Linked DNA regions of Caenorhabditis elegans. The protein of the gene in region 1 interacts with the protein of each later gene in a pairwise test. Each region holds a gene or a part of one and is shown in the gene's direction. Other genes may lie near its edges. The genes, in order: lgg-1, allo-1 and sepa-1.

Region 1 (4,743 bases):
AAATATTATTTTAATTTAAAACTTCAAAATAAAATTTTCAGGATCTACCATGGGACACATGTATCGAGGACAACCGCAAGTGAGTTTGCCGCCCCTTTATGACCTGTTGAGTGTAAGTTTACATTGTAGCATTATCCTGCCTCATCATCTGACACCGACCAGGACGATGACATCTACTTTCAGGCTCCTCTTCGTCTTGGCCCTAATGCTACGAATCCGTTCAGGCCAGCTCCGCTCCCGGTGCCGTCACGTAAGATTTTTCAGATCGGCTCTTCAAAAAGTTAAATTTTTACAGAATTACCAATCGCTGGTATTCCATGGGCAGAATTAACGACATCTTCAGCAGGTGCTGGTTCTGCTCGAAGTCGTGGATCCGACAGTGTAGTAGAAATTGACGATGATGATGATAATGATGGTGTCGATGTGGATGATGATGACAGAGAAGACAGTGATGAGCCAAGAACGTATTCAAATAGTGAGGAAGATAGCGATGAAGAGATTCAAGTTGTTGAACGTGATGATACTATTATTCTTGATGATTCGAATCGATCACTTCCTAAACCTGTAGCAAATGGTAGTGCCGACAGGAAGAGAAAGTACGAATTTCCATTAGAAGATCATTGGAAAAAGGCCAAAACCAGCCAGTTACCTGAGGGGCTTGTTGACGATGTTCAGGAATTGATCGCGAAGTACAATATGCCGTTAACACAATCAATGAATATGCTTGTCGGCGCAGCACAAGAAGCCATTATCAGGATTAACAAACCAATGCCAAGCACTTCAAGGTGGGTTTGAAAAGATTTTATCGTGGATATGTAATATTCCAATTTCAGTGCTCCAGACATTTCGAAGTTCAAACCTGATGATATGTTACAGCTAGCAAGTTGTAAGTTTGTCATATTGCAGATCAAGTCTCATAACTAATTTTTACAGATCTCTCTCGAACTGGTGCACTTTCAAGGCGACAGTAAATCGACATTTGATCTCTGTTAAATCAATTAAAAAGGCGGATATCGACGAGTTTTCAAACTTTTTCCTAGGCATATCATAATTTTTTACAACTTTTTTACTTTTATTTTTTCTGACATTTCGATGTTTCGTAGTAGCAAGTTTCCAAATGTTCCATCCTGGGCTACAAGCGAACTTATTCGGCAATTTTTAGATTTTCGTTGTTTACGGTTCAAAGAAAAAAGCGTTTTTCATATTTTTATTGTTTCTCCATGTTAGCTATCATTTTTTATTTATTTATATTTATAGCTTTATTCTGATTATTGTACTTCTGTCCGTGTAAAACATTTCGTCACTATTGACTGTCTATAAATTTTTAACCTTTGGTTTATTGTTTGGTTATTTTTTTAATATTTTTTCTCGGTTTGCTTCCGGCAAATTTTTATCTTGTTCCTTTTTATATTTTTGCCTTTCTGATCGATTACATGGAGTGCACCCTAATGTCTTTAAGATCTTTTAATTGATTTGTTTTATATTGTCAGTTCTAGCGTTTTACCAGCTGGTCTTGAATGCCCTCTTCTAGTTCATTACATTCTACGTCACGGTGACAGCTGTGAATGTGGATGATGCTCTCATTGCTCCAACTCTTTATTTTAGAATTATGTCGCTAATGCACTTTCCACCTACATATTATTGTATGGATATAGTAGTTATATATCGTTTATTTCGTTTAGTTTTAGCATATTATGTTCCTTTAATAGCAAAACATACTCAATACCAACTGTTGTCTAGTTGTTATTCTAACCTTTTATCACTTTTGATCATTTCTAACGTTTAAAATTTCCTATCAAAAGAATCTAAGAACAAACAATCTGTCGATCGGCACCTGAAACCCCGATGATTCTACACCATGCTGCTCTACTTCTCTCAAACCATCCAATGTTTCCCTATACTCTCTTGCTCTCCTCTGCCTGCTGTCTCGTTTCGCCGCCGTATGACACAGTCACATGATGTTGAGTCGTGGTGTCTCGTCGTCTCCGCCCCTCTCTCATCTCTCTCTCTTTCTAGCTAGTGCCATTCGTCTTGGTGTGTTCAGTCTTGCCTCTCGCTCTTCTTTGCGACTTTCTGCCATTTCTTTCACTTTCTGGCGACGTCGGTAGCGACAGTACTTTTTTATTTAAAAGTTTGTAATTTTAGTTGGTTTGTTTAAAAAACCGGTTTCAAATCAAAATCTTTTTTAGATTTGAAATTTGAAATTAAGAAATGTTTCACAAGTTTGACTATTAAATGTACGGTTTAACAATTCTATCTAAAAATATTGCTAAATCATACCAAAATTATTTATTGAACGGTCATATTAATCTAGTTAATAGTTGATTACTAAAGTCTTTCAGAATTCAATTTTTTGGAACAATGCGCTAAGAATATTCGTAGAAACTGGTTATGGATACTAGTGAATATTGGATAAATGTTACTAATATATCGATCGACTTTCAGTCTTCCCAGAATTACAGTTTCCCCGACAACCTCTAAACAGCTGCATTGTACTTGTCCTGTTTCTCTGCATCTCAACAAAACCAGGCCAGACAAACATAGAAAATCAATAGGATGTCTCCTGCGTCTACGCGCTCTCATATGACCGATGTGCGCGCACACTCCCTCTCTCACTTGCACACGGGCCATTCTTGCTCATGCTCTTTTTGCCTTACTAGTACTCGTCGTCAATTTTATATAGATTTCGCAATGTGTTATCGAATCGGTCAATCTCTCAAAACCCATGTGATGTCACCTTCATTCACTCTCACTTGTTACACCTTTCTTCTCTCATGGTTCTTTTATGATTTTTCTGTGATTTAAAGTATTTTTATTCCAGTAACCTTCTCTTCACACTAACCTTCGAATCAAAATGAAGTGGGCTTACAAGGAGGAGAACAACTTTGAGAAGCGTCGTGCCGAAGGAGACAAGATCCGCAGAAAGTACCCAGACCGTATTCCAGTGATTGTTGAGAAAGCACCAAAGTCAAAGCTCCATGACTTGGATAAGAAGAAGTACTTGGTCCCATCCGATCTTACTGTTGGACAGTTCTACTTCCTCATCAGAAAACGCATCCAACTTCGTCCAGAAGATGCTCTGTTCTTCTTTGTCAACAATGTCATTCCACAAACCATGACCACAATGGGACAACTCTACCAGGTAACTAACCAGTCGTTTATTTTCATTTAATTAACCCTTTTCTTTATTACAGGACCATCACGAGGAAGACTTGTTCCTTTACATCGCCTACAGTGACGAAAGTGTGTATGGAGGAGAGGTCGAAAAGAAGGAATAAAGTGTCATGTATTATCCGCCGACGAATGTGTATACTTGTACAATGGAAATTTCATACTTCTAATGGAAACCCAAAGCCCCTTTAAAAAAATCTTCTCATTTTCTGTAATAATTCTGTATTTCCTTCACATTTTCTTCTCATTTTTCTCGTATGACGGTTCCGAGTAGTGACTTCTATTCAAACTATTGTCTACGAAGTTGCTCTTCTCCCCTCCCAGAAAATCATGTTTTCTCTCGGATTTTGATATTTTTTTGCTATTACTTTCAAATTTTTGATTCATGAATAAACGAAGAAGACACAAACAAATTCATGTTCATGCTCATCGTTATTTTCGGCCAGCGAATGGAATACCTCCAACAGTTAGCAATACACATTGCGAAATCACTTTTTCATCTGTATAGAATTGACGTCACATTTGTATTACGTAAACATCATTGTAGATTTCTGAACAAAGTATAGAGAAAAATGAGAATTTTATTTCGAAAATGGTGACACACTTTTGGCAAAAAGGCTCTTTGTATCCATTAGTCATCTGTCAAATGACAGTTTATTCTAGTTGTCATCGTCTGAAAATGTCATAAGAGGGCTCAAACGTTGACTTAGGAATCATTTTTGATTCGATTCTGGCATATTTTATCATTTTCGAGACACAATTTTGGTACTACCCATTTGCAGAAGTTTGAGATTTTCAATGCGAAAATACGGTAGCCGGTCTCGGCACGATGGAAACTTTTCAGCTACCGCACCCAAAAGTGTTTCGCAATTTTCACCTGTATCTGTTGTAATAGTTTCACTTAAAATTCCACATTTTTAAAGGAAAAACCGATACATTTTTGGAAAATTGTAGGAGATCATGAAAAATTAAAAACAAATACTTGCGGATACGGTATTTAAATAGTTTTGGCCGTTTCGAGACCGAGTACTGTAGGCTAACTCTAAAAAAATCTGCAAAATTTTCAAGATGTATAATTAAATACATATTTTTGAGATTAAAAAAAGAGTCTCGTTTCTCTACATCTTACTATTGTAAATCTACGAGTCGCCGCTGCTTCCCAGTCAAATCGATTCTATAATTACACCTTCTCCTTTTCCCTTTTTCCTCTATCCATTTTCTCGTTGTTTTCCCTTCGTTGCTATTAGAAACTGGCATGGCTTTATTCATAAAGTGGTGTTTATACTCTTTTTTTTTCTATTTTTCTGCCTTTTTGAATTCATCACGTGTATGTTCTGCCATCTCTTCTTCTTCTTATTTTTTTCAATTTGATCGCAAAATTCGATCGAAAACGTGACCTTTACCTTTTGAACGGTGTATTCGTTATCTCATCGGTTTCCCCATCATTACTTGACTGTGATGGGGAACACGGCGAATTCGAATTCGAAACAACCAGCAACGAGTGCCGCGCAGATGTCGGTCGACCCAAAAGGTAGTGAAACACTGAAAAATTTGGCAAGTTTCTCAGCAGGT
Region 2 (5,933 bases), on another chromosome or scaffold:
TTTAATCAGTTCACAAATTAATCTGTTCTCGAACTTCGGTATCAAATTAGTGTTGAATCCATGTAACTTTGCCTTGCAATTTAATTCAAAACTCATTCACCAAATTTTCCGAAGTTTGTCGAATAAAAAATTAATTAAATTTGCAGATCGATGGTGAAACGTTCGTTCGATATTGAATACGATCTAGTCCGAAACGAAATAATCCGCGCTGAAGTGAAAGCAAATGAAGAGCTCGTATAACAGATCCTCAAATGATTCCTTGTACTTTTGTCCTCAAAAACCAAATACTACCTCATACTTCATGATCTCTCATTCCTTAGCAGCTTTCTTCCAAAAACTGTAAAGCAACTACTTCCGACCGCGATTAATTTGAAATCCGAAATCCGAAATCCTAAACGAAGAGATGCGAAATAAAAAGAAAATTGGTGGCGCTCCAGGCAATTGTCACACTCGGACACCGGATCCTCCGAGACGTTCAACTAATCCGCTCGACACTGCTTCTAGTCATACTTAAACCGTTTTGTTTTCTATATTTACTACTATTCTACTTCATTTTTCATCTTTTCAGAAATATGAATCTGATCTTTTTACTATTCACTTTTCCCATCTTCGTAGACAATTTTTTGTTTGGTTTCGGTAAGTTTGAACTATTTGAAATTCCAATTATTATGTGGAGTTATTAATGAAATACATATGAAGTAAGCTTGACTTTATTTTTTACTAATTGGTTCGAAAAAAACGACTAATATCCTTTATCATGATTAGAAACCGCAATCGTTCTCGATGTTGGCAGGAAATGAAGGTTGGAAAAAAAAATTAATCGCGGTATCTTTTTAAACATAATATAGACATAAACTTTGATCTTATTACCGTGCAAAATCACAAAATTTTGTTCGGTAACGATTTCTGATGATTTTTAGAACATTGATAAGATTTTGATAAGACATCAGACAATTACGTGAGTTTCATGAGAAATGGATACCAGAGACAATCTTGTCGACATCTCAATATGTTTCTTAAAATTTACACGAAAACCTTGACATCGGGTGGCAACATATTGCCCAATTTTGGAACAAAAATATTTACTTGCTAAAAACAAAAGTTAGGCAACACTCGAAAGGAAACAACGATTTTAAGTAACAGATACATTTTCTTGTACCTCAATTTTTATTATTAGCAAAATAAAGTTCTTTATGATATATGACGTATGTAAGATGTAGGAACAAACAATTAATTCCCAGAAGCCTGTAATTTATTTTAACGGACTAGAAATTTTCCAACACTTTTTCCTTTACTTATCTCATACTATTCAGGAGGCGGTGGCGGATGCGGATGTGGAAGTTCCTGTGGTGGATGTAACATGGGATGCTCCTGCCTACCACCTCCCCCTTCTCCAGTATGTATGCCACCTCCACCTCCACCGTGCCCGATGCCAATCCCGTGTCCACCTCCTCCGCCTGCCTGCTCGTGCCCGCCACCGGTAACCATGTATCAGGTAATTTTACTGTAAAATTTGCCTAATTTCATTGTTGTTATATCTTTTCAGCCCTGTATGGTTCCTCAATACGTTCCTCGATGCAGTGGTGGATGCGGAGGGTGTGGTGGTGGATACGGTGGCGGTTACGGTGGTGGGTGTGGTCGAAGAAGACGTGCGATCAACAATCAGACGATACATTGATATGTACAATGGTTTTTGCTTATATAACATCTTTTCTTTCAGTCATAACACAAATAGTACAAAAATAAAATGTTAAACATTCAAAAGTTACAGAATGAAGTTCCTAGAATCTAGTACGACGTGGATTCTGTAATAATTTTCAAATAAAATGCTTATAACGAGTGTTCTGTAAAATATGAGCCTTGTGGATTCTGAGGTCCTGAAACGACAAATAAAATGTTGAACTGGGGCTTGCGCTTTCAAAGAGGAATGCAGCTGTATATGTAGTTAATGGTGGTCTATTTCAATATTTTGCACAGTGTTTCACAAGTTTAAAAAATGCGTACCTAAAGACGCACCGAGATTTGGATCTCGCCTCAAGACAAAGTTTATGTTTTTTTTTTCCAATTTACCGGGAATCATAATAAATATTTTCTCGTGACGAATTTCAATCCGCATTGAAGTTTCAGAAAACTGCGACATTAGTCATCAATATTTAGTGTACCCTTTAAAATCTCAGCTACAATAAATTCTTCATTTTTCGGAATCGATTGGAAAAGGGTATTTAGAATTTCAGAAATCTTTTTTTTAAAGCTATATTTAAAAAAAAAAAATAAAAATTCCTAACCAATTATTGATATTAATGGAGAAAAACGCACCGAAAACGGTCAAATTTGAAAAACCGCGAAAAACGAATTTTGTCTGCCTGCCTGCGTCTCTTCAATTCCTCCAGTGTCTCGTCTTCCTCAAAACAACCAGACGAGAGCGCTCATTTCGCCATTTTTTGTGTTACAGGCTGCATTTCTTCCTATTCCTTATTTTTGCTTCATTTTTTCGTTTTTTCAAGTCAAATTGATTGACAGAATTTACAATTGTAGAAATGAAAATTGAATTTTTAACGAAACGCCGACACAAATCTGAAAATTTGTTGGAAAATGTTATAATTTCTTCGCTTCTTCTGAACGCATGATTTCCCAACAATTTTAATTGCATTCCTATCCATCTATTAGCAATATAGTTTTTTCTTAACAAGTCGACTCTGGAAAATATCAAAAAATTCCTAACGACCTTCAAAAACGACATTTCCCACTGGTCACTGCGACCCGCATCAGCTGTTTTCCAATTCGAACATTTTATGCCTGCGTCTCCAAGAGCTGCTGATTCATTCTCTGGCAAACACATGATTCCTCGAGTCGTTTTTACACTGAGACGTAGAAGACAGACGACCTAGAATGTTTCGAAATCACACTCTAACTCTCTCAATGATTTTACTCTCCTTTATATATTGCTAGCAGTAACCAGTGCTTAGTGTTTGCATTCTCGATCATACGACCTCACTCTTCTCATATATTTTTCTCATTTTTCAACTCGAGATTTTGTTATTATCACTCACTAAGTAATATTTTTCAGAGAATGAACGATCCGCTTGACTCCCTCTCGAATGACGAATTCGAGATAATCGAGACTTTTGACCGTAAGTTTTTATTTTATTTTAAAAAAAGGACCTAAAAATTCAAGCTCCCAAGCTAACCCAATGAGAAAATATAACTTTTGTCTAGAAATAAATTGTTTGCATCATGATTTCGAAATTTCTTCGCATTTTTTGAAATTATGGGTCAACTTTCTGAAATCGATTTATTTGTTATTTCACAATCGAGGATTTTTAAAAATTCAAAAAAAAATTCCAGCTGAAACAGAAGATCGTGAGGATCAATGGAGTATTCAGCAGAGTATCCGAATCGAGCCAATTTCAATCCAGATGCCGAATACACTTCAATCACAGCGCGCTCCATCTCCTGTCGGATCGAAGGCCCCGGAGTCGTTGAAAGACGAAGATCCAGATCGTACACCTGAAGCATCAATCGTTGAAACACCGCTCCTTACCGAAACTTTGAAGGAAGATCGTACTCCAATGTCAACTCCTCTCGCGTCTCTTGTCAATTCGAGTCAATCTCCTGAATTCACTCTTCAGAATATGTCTATTGTGTCCGAGTCTGAATGTTCCAGTTAGTTTTAAACCAAAACTTATCATAAATTATTTATTTGACCAAGTAAATTCCAGATAATTCCTCTCTTGTGAACGTGGCGGACGTTGAATCAACAGAAATCGCTTTGAGAACATCACTTCTTCTTGTGAGCGAGCTGAAATCTCAACTTCAAGCTGCAAAAATGTCTGAATCCACTCTTCTGAAATCAAATTCAAACCATGAAATTGAAGAAAACAAGAAACTATCTGAGAAAATGGAAGTTATGAAGAACGAGTTCGAATTGAAGATGCAAGAATCAGCTGCTAGCGTAGAGAAAGTTATCCAGGAGAAAGACTCGGCTATCGAGCAGCTCAAAGTGCAATTGGCTCAGAGCCAACAGGTGGCCGAGCTGTGGAAGCAGGGAGCCGAGAAAAACAGCAACGCTCAGTACAGTGACTCGAAGACTACTATTGATAGACTTTTGGAGGAGAACTCGAAATTGAGAAATCTGGTTGATGAAGAGGTTGCTCGCCGGCTCGAAGAATCTGAGCGTCGCAAGCTGGCGGAGGATCAGTTGAAACATGCAAGAGGAGGCTCTGTCTTTGATCCACCAGCCTCTTTTGTTGCATCGCAGTTGGCGGAAAGAACCACATATTCATTGAATCTGGAACATGAGCTTATCACTCTGAGAAAAGAATTGGAGGAAACTAAAGAAGCACTGAAGAAATCTGTAGAAGAGTCGAGCAACAAGGATGAGATAGTTAGTGCTCTGCATGAGGTGCGGTTTTGATAACTTTTTTTTAAATTAGTTAACCATAGAAACCGTTCAAGCGGTCATTGCTATCTTAAATTTTTAATTTAGTGCTAAAACAACGTTGTTTTTCAACGACAAACATAAGATTTCATTTAACAATTTTTTGCAAAAAATACCAGCTTGCAGGACCAACAGGAGAGCACCCGCATGCTCGCTTCGAACGAGCAGGTGATCAACAGTCTGAAGCAGAAATGTCGTCAACTTGGAGTGCTGGAAGACTTCTCGAGCTAAGCCGTCAAATTGTTCATTTTATCTCCCACCAATAATTCTCATTTATCACGCCACATTGTGTACATTCAATACTTTTAAATTCTTGTTTTCATGATTTGTTCTATTTTGTATATTATCTTGCAAAACCCGTGTCAATAAAAATTATGATGTAGAAAAAATTCTAATCATTTCTCAGCAATTACTCGAATTTAGTCGGTAGTTTATTGGTAAATTGAAATGAAAAAAATAATTTAATAATTGCAGGTTTTTGTAAAAGATGTACTCTTTGCTCACACGACGGGTTATAGTATTAGGAAATGGTGAGTGAAAACAATAACGATACAAACGTACATATATTCAAGATCTAACGATTCGAGAAAATTCATAATGAAATTTAACTGAGAGATAATCGATCTATTTTTGCGCCAAAAATACGGTACTCTGTATCGACACGACATTTTTTTGTTAAAAGCAAACGGGGGTGCACCTTTAAAGTGTACTGTAATTTCAAACTTCCGATGCTGTGGAATTTTTTAATTTTAATCGATTTTTCAGAGTTGTTATTGCGACTTGTTATATTGTATGTATTGTTAATTGTTTAGTTTTAGTTTTTTTTTCAAATAAATAAATGCATTTTGAACGAAACAATTCGGAGAAATTTTCGCACCAACAAAAGTTTTATAAATACAGTACTCTTTAAAGGCGCGCACAATTTTTTAGTTTACAAAACTTTTTCGCGTCGAGACCGGGAAATGTTTTTAGCGCGAAAATTGCGAAATTTTGCGTCTGGCTAATATGGAAGTTTTTACAAATGATCAAGGTTAAAAATAATAAAAACTACAATCAAGGTTGTCAATTCCCGTGTCCCGTTTGTCCCGTTGTCCCGATTTTGGGGTGTTTCCACGGGAACGGGAATTCCCATTGTCCCGTTTTTAAAATTTTCACGGGAACGAGAATTCCCGCTGTCCCGTTTTTGTCATTGTTACGGGACACTGACACCCTTGACTACAATTACAATGTTTGATCTGTGTTATCATGCTCTCATTTTCATATCGGTATTTCAATTACATAATTTCATCGACACTATTGAAACGATTGTCATGATTTCTGCCTACTGATGATATCTAGACACTTCACTGTATTAACAGCACTCAACTTGCAAACCAAGATCAAAAGTTAGCATTTTGTATATAGTCCTCCGCTTTTCTACGTACTTCCTTTCTCCAAATATCATCTAAACCTTCAAAAACATATTGATAACTTCTATATCATTATTTTTTTTCTA
Region 3 (6,565 bases), on another chromosome or scaffold:
TGGATCTTCTCCCCAAGTATGCAGAGTTTTGCGAAGAGATTCAGGCTTATGTGATTCACGTCTTCAACTCCTTCACAGATCGCATGGAGCAATATGTCTTCGACTCGAAGATTCAGGGATTTGTTGAAGTGAATCAGCCAGAGCTGAAGTATGACTCATCGAAGGATCAGGATCCGACTTCGAGCATCTTCTTCGTTCTCAAAGGGACAACAGTGATCATGAGGGGTGCACAAGGAAGACTGAAGAAGGAGGTATATTGCTCGATCAAAAAACATTTCGTGGAGGTTCCCAATTCGGTGATCAAGAGTTTTGATACTCAGTTTATGGAGAAGAAGCAGAAGATGGACAAGAAGAAGAAGGCCAAAAAGATCAAGAAGTCCAAGAAGAAGGCATCCAAAGAATCTCAAGAGTTGGATGTCTTGGTCGAGAAGATCCGTCTTTGTGATGATCCGTTTTCTGATGGCCCATCTTGCTCAACTTCTCCAGATATTCCGGAGGATGCCCCAGGTAACCCTTAACACTTAATCCATACTATTATTCATTTTTCTAAAAATATACTCATTTCAGACGATGGCATGTCAATTCTCAAACAAAAATTCGTGGAAAGCCTGACAACTCTCTACGGCGGATCGTTGCCACCATATGTTCAGAAGGAATTGGAACAGATTTGAGGATTTGGATTAAAATTAGTTTTTTTTGTTAAATTGCATATTTTTTTATTTTATTTTGTCTTGCGGTCTCATTTTTCTTCCCGATGTTCCATAAATAAAAGACAACTGTAAATTTGTGTGCCTTTAGAAACGGCGGGAAAAAAATCATTGCTGAAAATCTTGCTTGACGTCATAGTCTTTTAGAATGGGATTGCCAGGTTCTCTTTGAGGCAAATTAAAATGGGGCACGTTTCCAAAAGAAATCCGGCAAATGGATGTAATTTTCTCTGATTCTATGAATCTTCTGTCCACATTTGTAGTCCAATTCAAGGGTGGGCGGCAATTGCCGTTCGGCAAATTTTTTTGTCGACAAACTCGGCAAAGCGGCAAGATGCCGATTTGCCGGAAGTTTTGAATTCCGGCAATTTGCCGGTTTACCGATTTGCCGGAAGTTTTCAATTCCGGAGGTTTGCCGGTTTGCCAATTGCCGGAAGTGTTTAGAGGGGCTTTTTATATGACAGAAGCACTTAAAACTGTGCCTTTTTGAAATTTTATTCCGTTTTCTTTAGATATATTCATAGAGTTTGCTTATTTTTAAAAATAGATGTAGGAACATTCATAGGATGCGTAAAAGTCTGCTGAGTGAAATCGAAATTCTGAAATTTCCAAAAAAAATGTGCAAAACCACAATTTGCCCGTTTTTCTGGCAAATTTGGCAAAGCGTCAATTTGCCGGTTTGCTGATTTGCCGGAACTTTTCAATTCCGGCAATTTGCCGATTTGCCGGAAATTTTCATTTCCGCCAATTTGCAAATTCCGGCAAAAAATCATTTGCCGTCCACCCCTGGTCGAATTACTCTCAGGTGGATCGCGTCCTTGCTCAGTGTCTGGGAATTTAAGCTGACCTTGCTTTGTCTTAATAATGGGAGTATAGGAGAAATTTATGAAGAAATGTGAGAAGTACATGTAGCCAAGATATGGGCGGTGCCATATTCAGTTCATGCTCCGCCCATATCTTGGATACTTTTCTGTTCAGATTGCCGATAATTCTTTCTATTAGATCAGCAGCCGTAACATGTTGAGATTTACCATATCTGTAAAATCAGTTCCCAGAAATTTTGTTAAAAACCATCAATATACTACATTCGTTTGTAGATCTTCTCCTGGTAGTCGTCTCAATCTTACATCAGTCGATAAAAACATCTGCCAATTCCCACCTCTTTCCCGAATCTGGTATCCCAAGAGCTGAGTATCGATTTAAATTGGTTGCAGCGTTTGCTCCAGATGCTCTGAGTTGTCTTGAAGAGCAGAAGACATCATTCAGTCTGCCTGCATCGCCTCTAGTAGGTCGTTTTTCTTTTCTCTAGTCAGTCTCTAGAGCTCCTGTTTCCATTTTTTTGTTCTCGGCTATGAACTACAGTATTTGTTTCCTTTTTGCCTTTTTCAAATATGATGTATTCTTGAAATTGATATGTCCGTAGTTCCCTTTTCTAAAAGTGTATCTTGTAGTTACTTGTGGTTTTACCAAAAATTGGACAAAAAATATCAGTTGTACTTTGATGGTTTTATTCAAAACTTGATTTTAACACAAAGGAGGACTAAAGACGCTATTTATGCCCCTGATACCAAATATCGATGTGAAAAAAATATAAAAAATTTCCGTGATTTTATATTAATTTATTAAAATCCCAAAATCCTATTTAACGCCGAAATTTTCGTCAGAAAAGGCATCGCCCATAAAAACCGTACCGCACTTGTGGATTTACGAGATTCATATTTTCGATTCATTTTATTTAATTTTCAGCCCTAGCAGTAGCCTTACCTAAATTCTAGCCCACAAAATTTGTGCATCTTCCCGCCTAGTATTATACAACAATCTGTATTGATTGCTTATTCCCAGGTGTTCTGTACGCGGAGTTGGCGGGAGCATTTACCAATCGATAAACTTTACTTGATACGTTTATATGTCCTGTTGCACTCGTCGTTTTGTATTAACTCCTACAACACTTTTTGCTCACTACTTTTTCATTTTTGATTTTTTGCAGTGGTTCTTATACTTCTAAATTTCCTTTAAACTCCTATTTTTAATCGCGCCTGGTAATTTCACTTATCACTTTTTTATTGCATTTGTATACGTTTTCAATTATTCTTAATCTAACTACACCTTAATTCCAGAAAAATCTCCAAGATGACACCTCTTTCTGCTCTTACCTCCAATCCAGCGCCTTCACCTCCACCGAAGTTTGCACTCGGAAAGTGCCCTGCCACTGCTATCCACGTGGTCAGTGTTCTTCGCCCAAACAGACAACGCTTTTGCTATGAGAAAACGGATGCTGGTGATTTGATCCCTCACAAATGCCTCATATGCCAACCAATTCTCACCGAGAAGCACATTTCTCCGTACTACGCTGTCTACAGTGACCTACTCGAAGATTTCGTGCTCTTCGGGTATAATACAATGACCGGGAAGATGGAGCAGTTTATCTACGCTTTCAAGACGGATTGCTTTGTTGAAGTGAATCGTCCCGAGATTAAGTACAATCCGGCGTTTCTTGTTAAAGGAAACGTTGTGGTTGCTCTAAATGGTCCTGAAGGCGAGCTGGTCGTGATTGAAAGAGATTGCCGTGGTCTTCTCAGTAAGGAATCTACAAGTTATGGACAGTTCCGAACTCTTCCAACAGCTGCTTTAAGGACTCTGACGCTTCAAGATCTGGAACGTGATAGGTGGGATAGAGCCGCGAATTCTGATGAAGTCAAGATTTCATCAGGTAATGAGAGCTTTGATAGACTCTACGCAGAGTATCAGAAGAATCTCCCACGATTCCAAGTTCGTCAATGTCTGCATTTGAACAAAGAATTTCTATGCGTCTATTCAAAGACTAGCGGGGATTACACAAGACTCGAGTACATTGACGAAACAGGCGACTTCCAGAAGATTTCCTGCACTCTTTGCACATGTGAAGTCACCGAATCGAACCTTATTCCATTGTATGTGGAGCGTAATGCATCCGAATTGGTGATTCATGTTCATAACACCGAGAATAATCAAATCGAGCAGTACATCTATGATGTCCGTACATTTGGATTCGTTCAAGTTAAACGCAATCTAGTTTATGATCCGAAAAAGATCACCAGTGGGCTGAACTTGTTTATGGCGGAAAATATAGACAATCGCAAGGTGTATATGATCATGAGAGGTCGTGATGGAAGACTTCAGAAAGAAACATCTGGAAGTGGAGGCTTCGAGAAGATGCAGCCAGTTGCGGTGAAAACATTCCAAGTTCAATGGGTTGAGATGAAAACTGAATTCGAAAAGAAGAAGGCTAGCACGGAGCGAGTCGAGCCACAACATCCAGTTCAGACGGAGGGCGAAGATATAATGGAAACCGTGTTAGCGATGGTTGAATCTTTTAATTGTGACTTGAGAAAGGAACTTGGATTGACACAGGATCAAGAGATTCCCAGAAAGGCGCCTAGAGTGGAATCAGCTGAGACGGAAGAGAATATAGTGAAGAATCTCGAGAAGCTCCAAATTGCGAAGGATCCCGAAGAGCCGACTACAGCTGCTTCTGAAGGTGGAAATACATATGGGTATCAGGAATTGGACGATACGATGTCTGAGGGCTTATTGGAAAAAGAAGCAGAATCGAAGCATCAGGACGCCAACGAACCAGAGCCTGTGAAGAATGTCACCTATGAGCCGGATGTTGCAGCAATGGACAAGAAGAAAAAGCGGAGAGAGCTCAAGAGTCGGCTGAACAAAATTAATGCTCAAATTGACGAGTTGGAGAAACGAAGAATGGAAAGAGCCGGAAAGAAACAAGTCGTCTCAAGCTCAGTGCCTTCGGAAGAAGCTGCTCAAGTTGAAGGTATGTATGCTTTTCAAAAACTTTATTTCTGTAGCTATTACCCGTATTTCTTTTGGAAATAGGTTAAGGGGTACTGTAGGCTTACTGTGAAAGTACAAAAATCACCTAAACCTTTGAAAATTTTCAGCACCTGCTTCACCTGCTCTGGCCGAGAACACTAATCAAATCTCAAACGAAGAAACACCTAAAATTGATATATTTGAAGGGTACAATGGTTCTTTCTTGTTCGGGACAAACACATCAAAGGAATGGATCGTTGAAGACATCCGAAATCACATGGTTGGAAAATTGTTGAAAGCGTTCTGGCCAAGAATCCAGAATGTAGAAGAGATGAATGGTGAACTGTTTAAAAAGTTGATCGCCAATGCCAGAAAATGTGAAACGGAGATTTTGGAAGCATCGAATGACCGAGATGAATACTATCGTTTGATGCAATTAACAGTTGACCAGATTCTCAAGAAAACTTTAAAAAAAGACCAACGAGCCACTGAACATAACCGTAAGTTGCTATTAATTTTTTAATATGATAATTTGCTTTTAATAATTTTAAAAAAATTTGAAATAATTGAAGGCTAGCCTAAACTGACAAAAATGTCTCAACTCCTGTTATTCCCATTTTAAGAATTTTAAGATTAATGCTTCAAATATCGATATTTATTTTCAGACCAACAACCAACACAAAGCTCCGATGAACTTGCCAAAAATCACGAGAAAAACTAAATCAGTTCACATTCATTTTCTTTTATATCTCTTGCTTTTGCTTATATCCTGTAATGAATGCGTGCTTTATCCCAAATAAATATTAAATTGATAAGTATTTTTCTTTTAATTGCACCCGAATTTGGCGTTGGGCGAATCATTTTCGGAACAATGAAACCTTGAAGAAACATGTAACTAAAAAATCGTAATTCCAGTTGTAAATTTGCAAAACTAACTTTTTCGTTTTTCATCTTTTAAAAAAAAACTTTCATGTTCGTTTTTTAAATAATCCCAGCCCTGATCGGAATCACCTTCACAATAATAATCCTTTTAAAATATTGCCCGACCGGATTCCCCGGAAGAGCTATTCCAAAAATTGTTCACAATCGACACTCTCTTTCGAAAGATCGAAACTCCGAATTACCTTGGTAACTGGGTTAAAACCAAATTTGATAGAAAATGACGAGAAGGCCACTTAACGCGTGTACCGACAAAATGTGGGCGCGCGTACGGGACTATAAAACTGACACTGCGTGCGTCTGCTTCTATACAACCTTTGCAGCGGGTGAGATTGGCGCCCGGTTAGCTCAGTCGGTAGAGCACCAGACTCTTAATCTGGTTGTCGCGGGTTCGAGCCCCGCATTGGGCTTACGTTTTTGTTTTTTATTTCAGACTTTTTTATTTATGTCATGTCAGCATTTTAAGTCAGCATTTCGCCCTCTCACACTTATGAAATCAAAAACTGCAACCAAAAAAAAAACAATTTCTGAAAATGCAACGTTTATTATCATAATTTTCATGAAATCAAAATTAAATTCTTGAATCAGTCGATGTGTATGCGATTTTTAAATAAAACAGAAAAAAACAAGAAAGCGAGAGAAAGAGGGACGAGAATTCTTGGGACTAATCATGTGGGTAATGAAGAAAAAAAGACGAAATTGGGGCATTTTAAGGCTGAAAATAGCTAATTTCCAGTCTGAACATACCCAAAAGGAGGCTACACACGATATTTTAGAGCAATTGGAGCAAAATAAGAAGGTAATTCTAAAAAAATCTTAGGATTCTTTTTTTTTGAGATGATAGAATGGATTACATGTACTAGAAGAGTGGGGAGAAAGAAAACGTTAGACATGAAGAGCAAATAACTATAGAAACTTGGAAATTTCAAGATATTTAGAGATATTTGATTGAAATGGAGAAATAAGAGGAATAATAAATTATTAGTGATGAATAATTGGAATAGAAAATTTGATTTTTTTTGTTGGGTTTGTTGGTGAAGGTTAAAGATTTTTCAGAAAAAAAAAGAAAAAAAAAAAATAAACGAAATGATTAACAAAGGTGTGTGTAA

Evidence for each region.
Region 2: the proteins of lgg-1 (region 1) and allo-1 interact in a two-hybrid assay, tested with the Caenorhabditis elegans proteins (2 studies listed by BioGRID).
Region 3: the proteins of lgg-1 (region 1) and sepa-1 interact in binary tests that used the Caenorhabditis elegans proteins (3 or more experiments, as listed by UniProt).

The regions. Positions count from the first base shown.
Region 1 is NC_003280.10:6,345,798-6,350,540, reverse strand, and holds lgg-1 (Protein lgg-1), read left to right. Parts: upstream 1-2,821; 5' UTR 2,822-2,854; coding exon 2,855-3,142; intron 3,143-3,194; coding exon 3,195-3,278; 3' UTR 3,279-3,581; downstream 3,582-4,743. Other genes in the region: putative RING finger protein C32D5.10, read left to right, coding at 42-79, 184-250, 296-785, 834-886, 934-971; C32D5.8 (protein-disulfide reductase), read left to right, coding at 4,630-4,702. UniProt on the Caenorhabditis elegans protein: Ubiquitin-like modifier involved in the formation of autophagosomal vacuoles (autophagosomes). When lipidated mediates tethering between adjacent membranes and stimulates membrane fusion during autophagy. Recruits lipidated-lgg-2 to maturing autophagosomes.
Region 2 is NC_003282.8:10,694,206-10,700,138, reverse strand, and holds allo-1 (Allophagy receptor allo-1), read left to right. Parts: upstream 1-3,066; 5' UTR 3,067-3,070; coding exon 3,071-3,131; intron 3,132-3,345; coding exon 3,346-3,663; intron 3,664-3,719; coding exon 3,720-4,402; intron 4,403-4,557; coding exon 4,558-4,704; 3' UTR 4,705-4,833; downstream 4,834-5,933. Other genes in the region: R102.6 (MARVEL domain-containing protein), read left to right, coding at 147-240; R102.11 (uncharacterized protein), read left to right, coding at 573-636, 1,314-1,495, 1,547-1,678; R102.4 (Beta_elim_lyase domain-containing protein), read left to right, coding at 5,766-5,823. UniProt on the Caenorhabditis elegans protein: Autophagy receptor, which is required for allophagy, an autophagic process in which paternal organelles, including mitochondria and membranous organelles, are degraded in early embryos.
Region 3 is NC_003279.8:13,296,974-13,303,538, reverse strand, and holds sepa-1 (Protein sepa-1), read left to right. Parts: upstream 1-2,822; 5' UTR 2,823-2,837; coding exon 2,838-4,518; intron 4,519-4,645; coding exon 4,646-5,017; intron 5,018-5,182; coding exon 5,183-5,238; 3' UTR 5,239-5,335; downstream 5,336-6,565. Other genes in the region: T04D3.1 (NTF2 domain-containing protein), read left to right, coding at 1-507, 568-671. UniProt on the Caenorhabditis elegans protein: Adapter protein that connects P-granules in somatic cells with the autophagic machinery.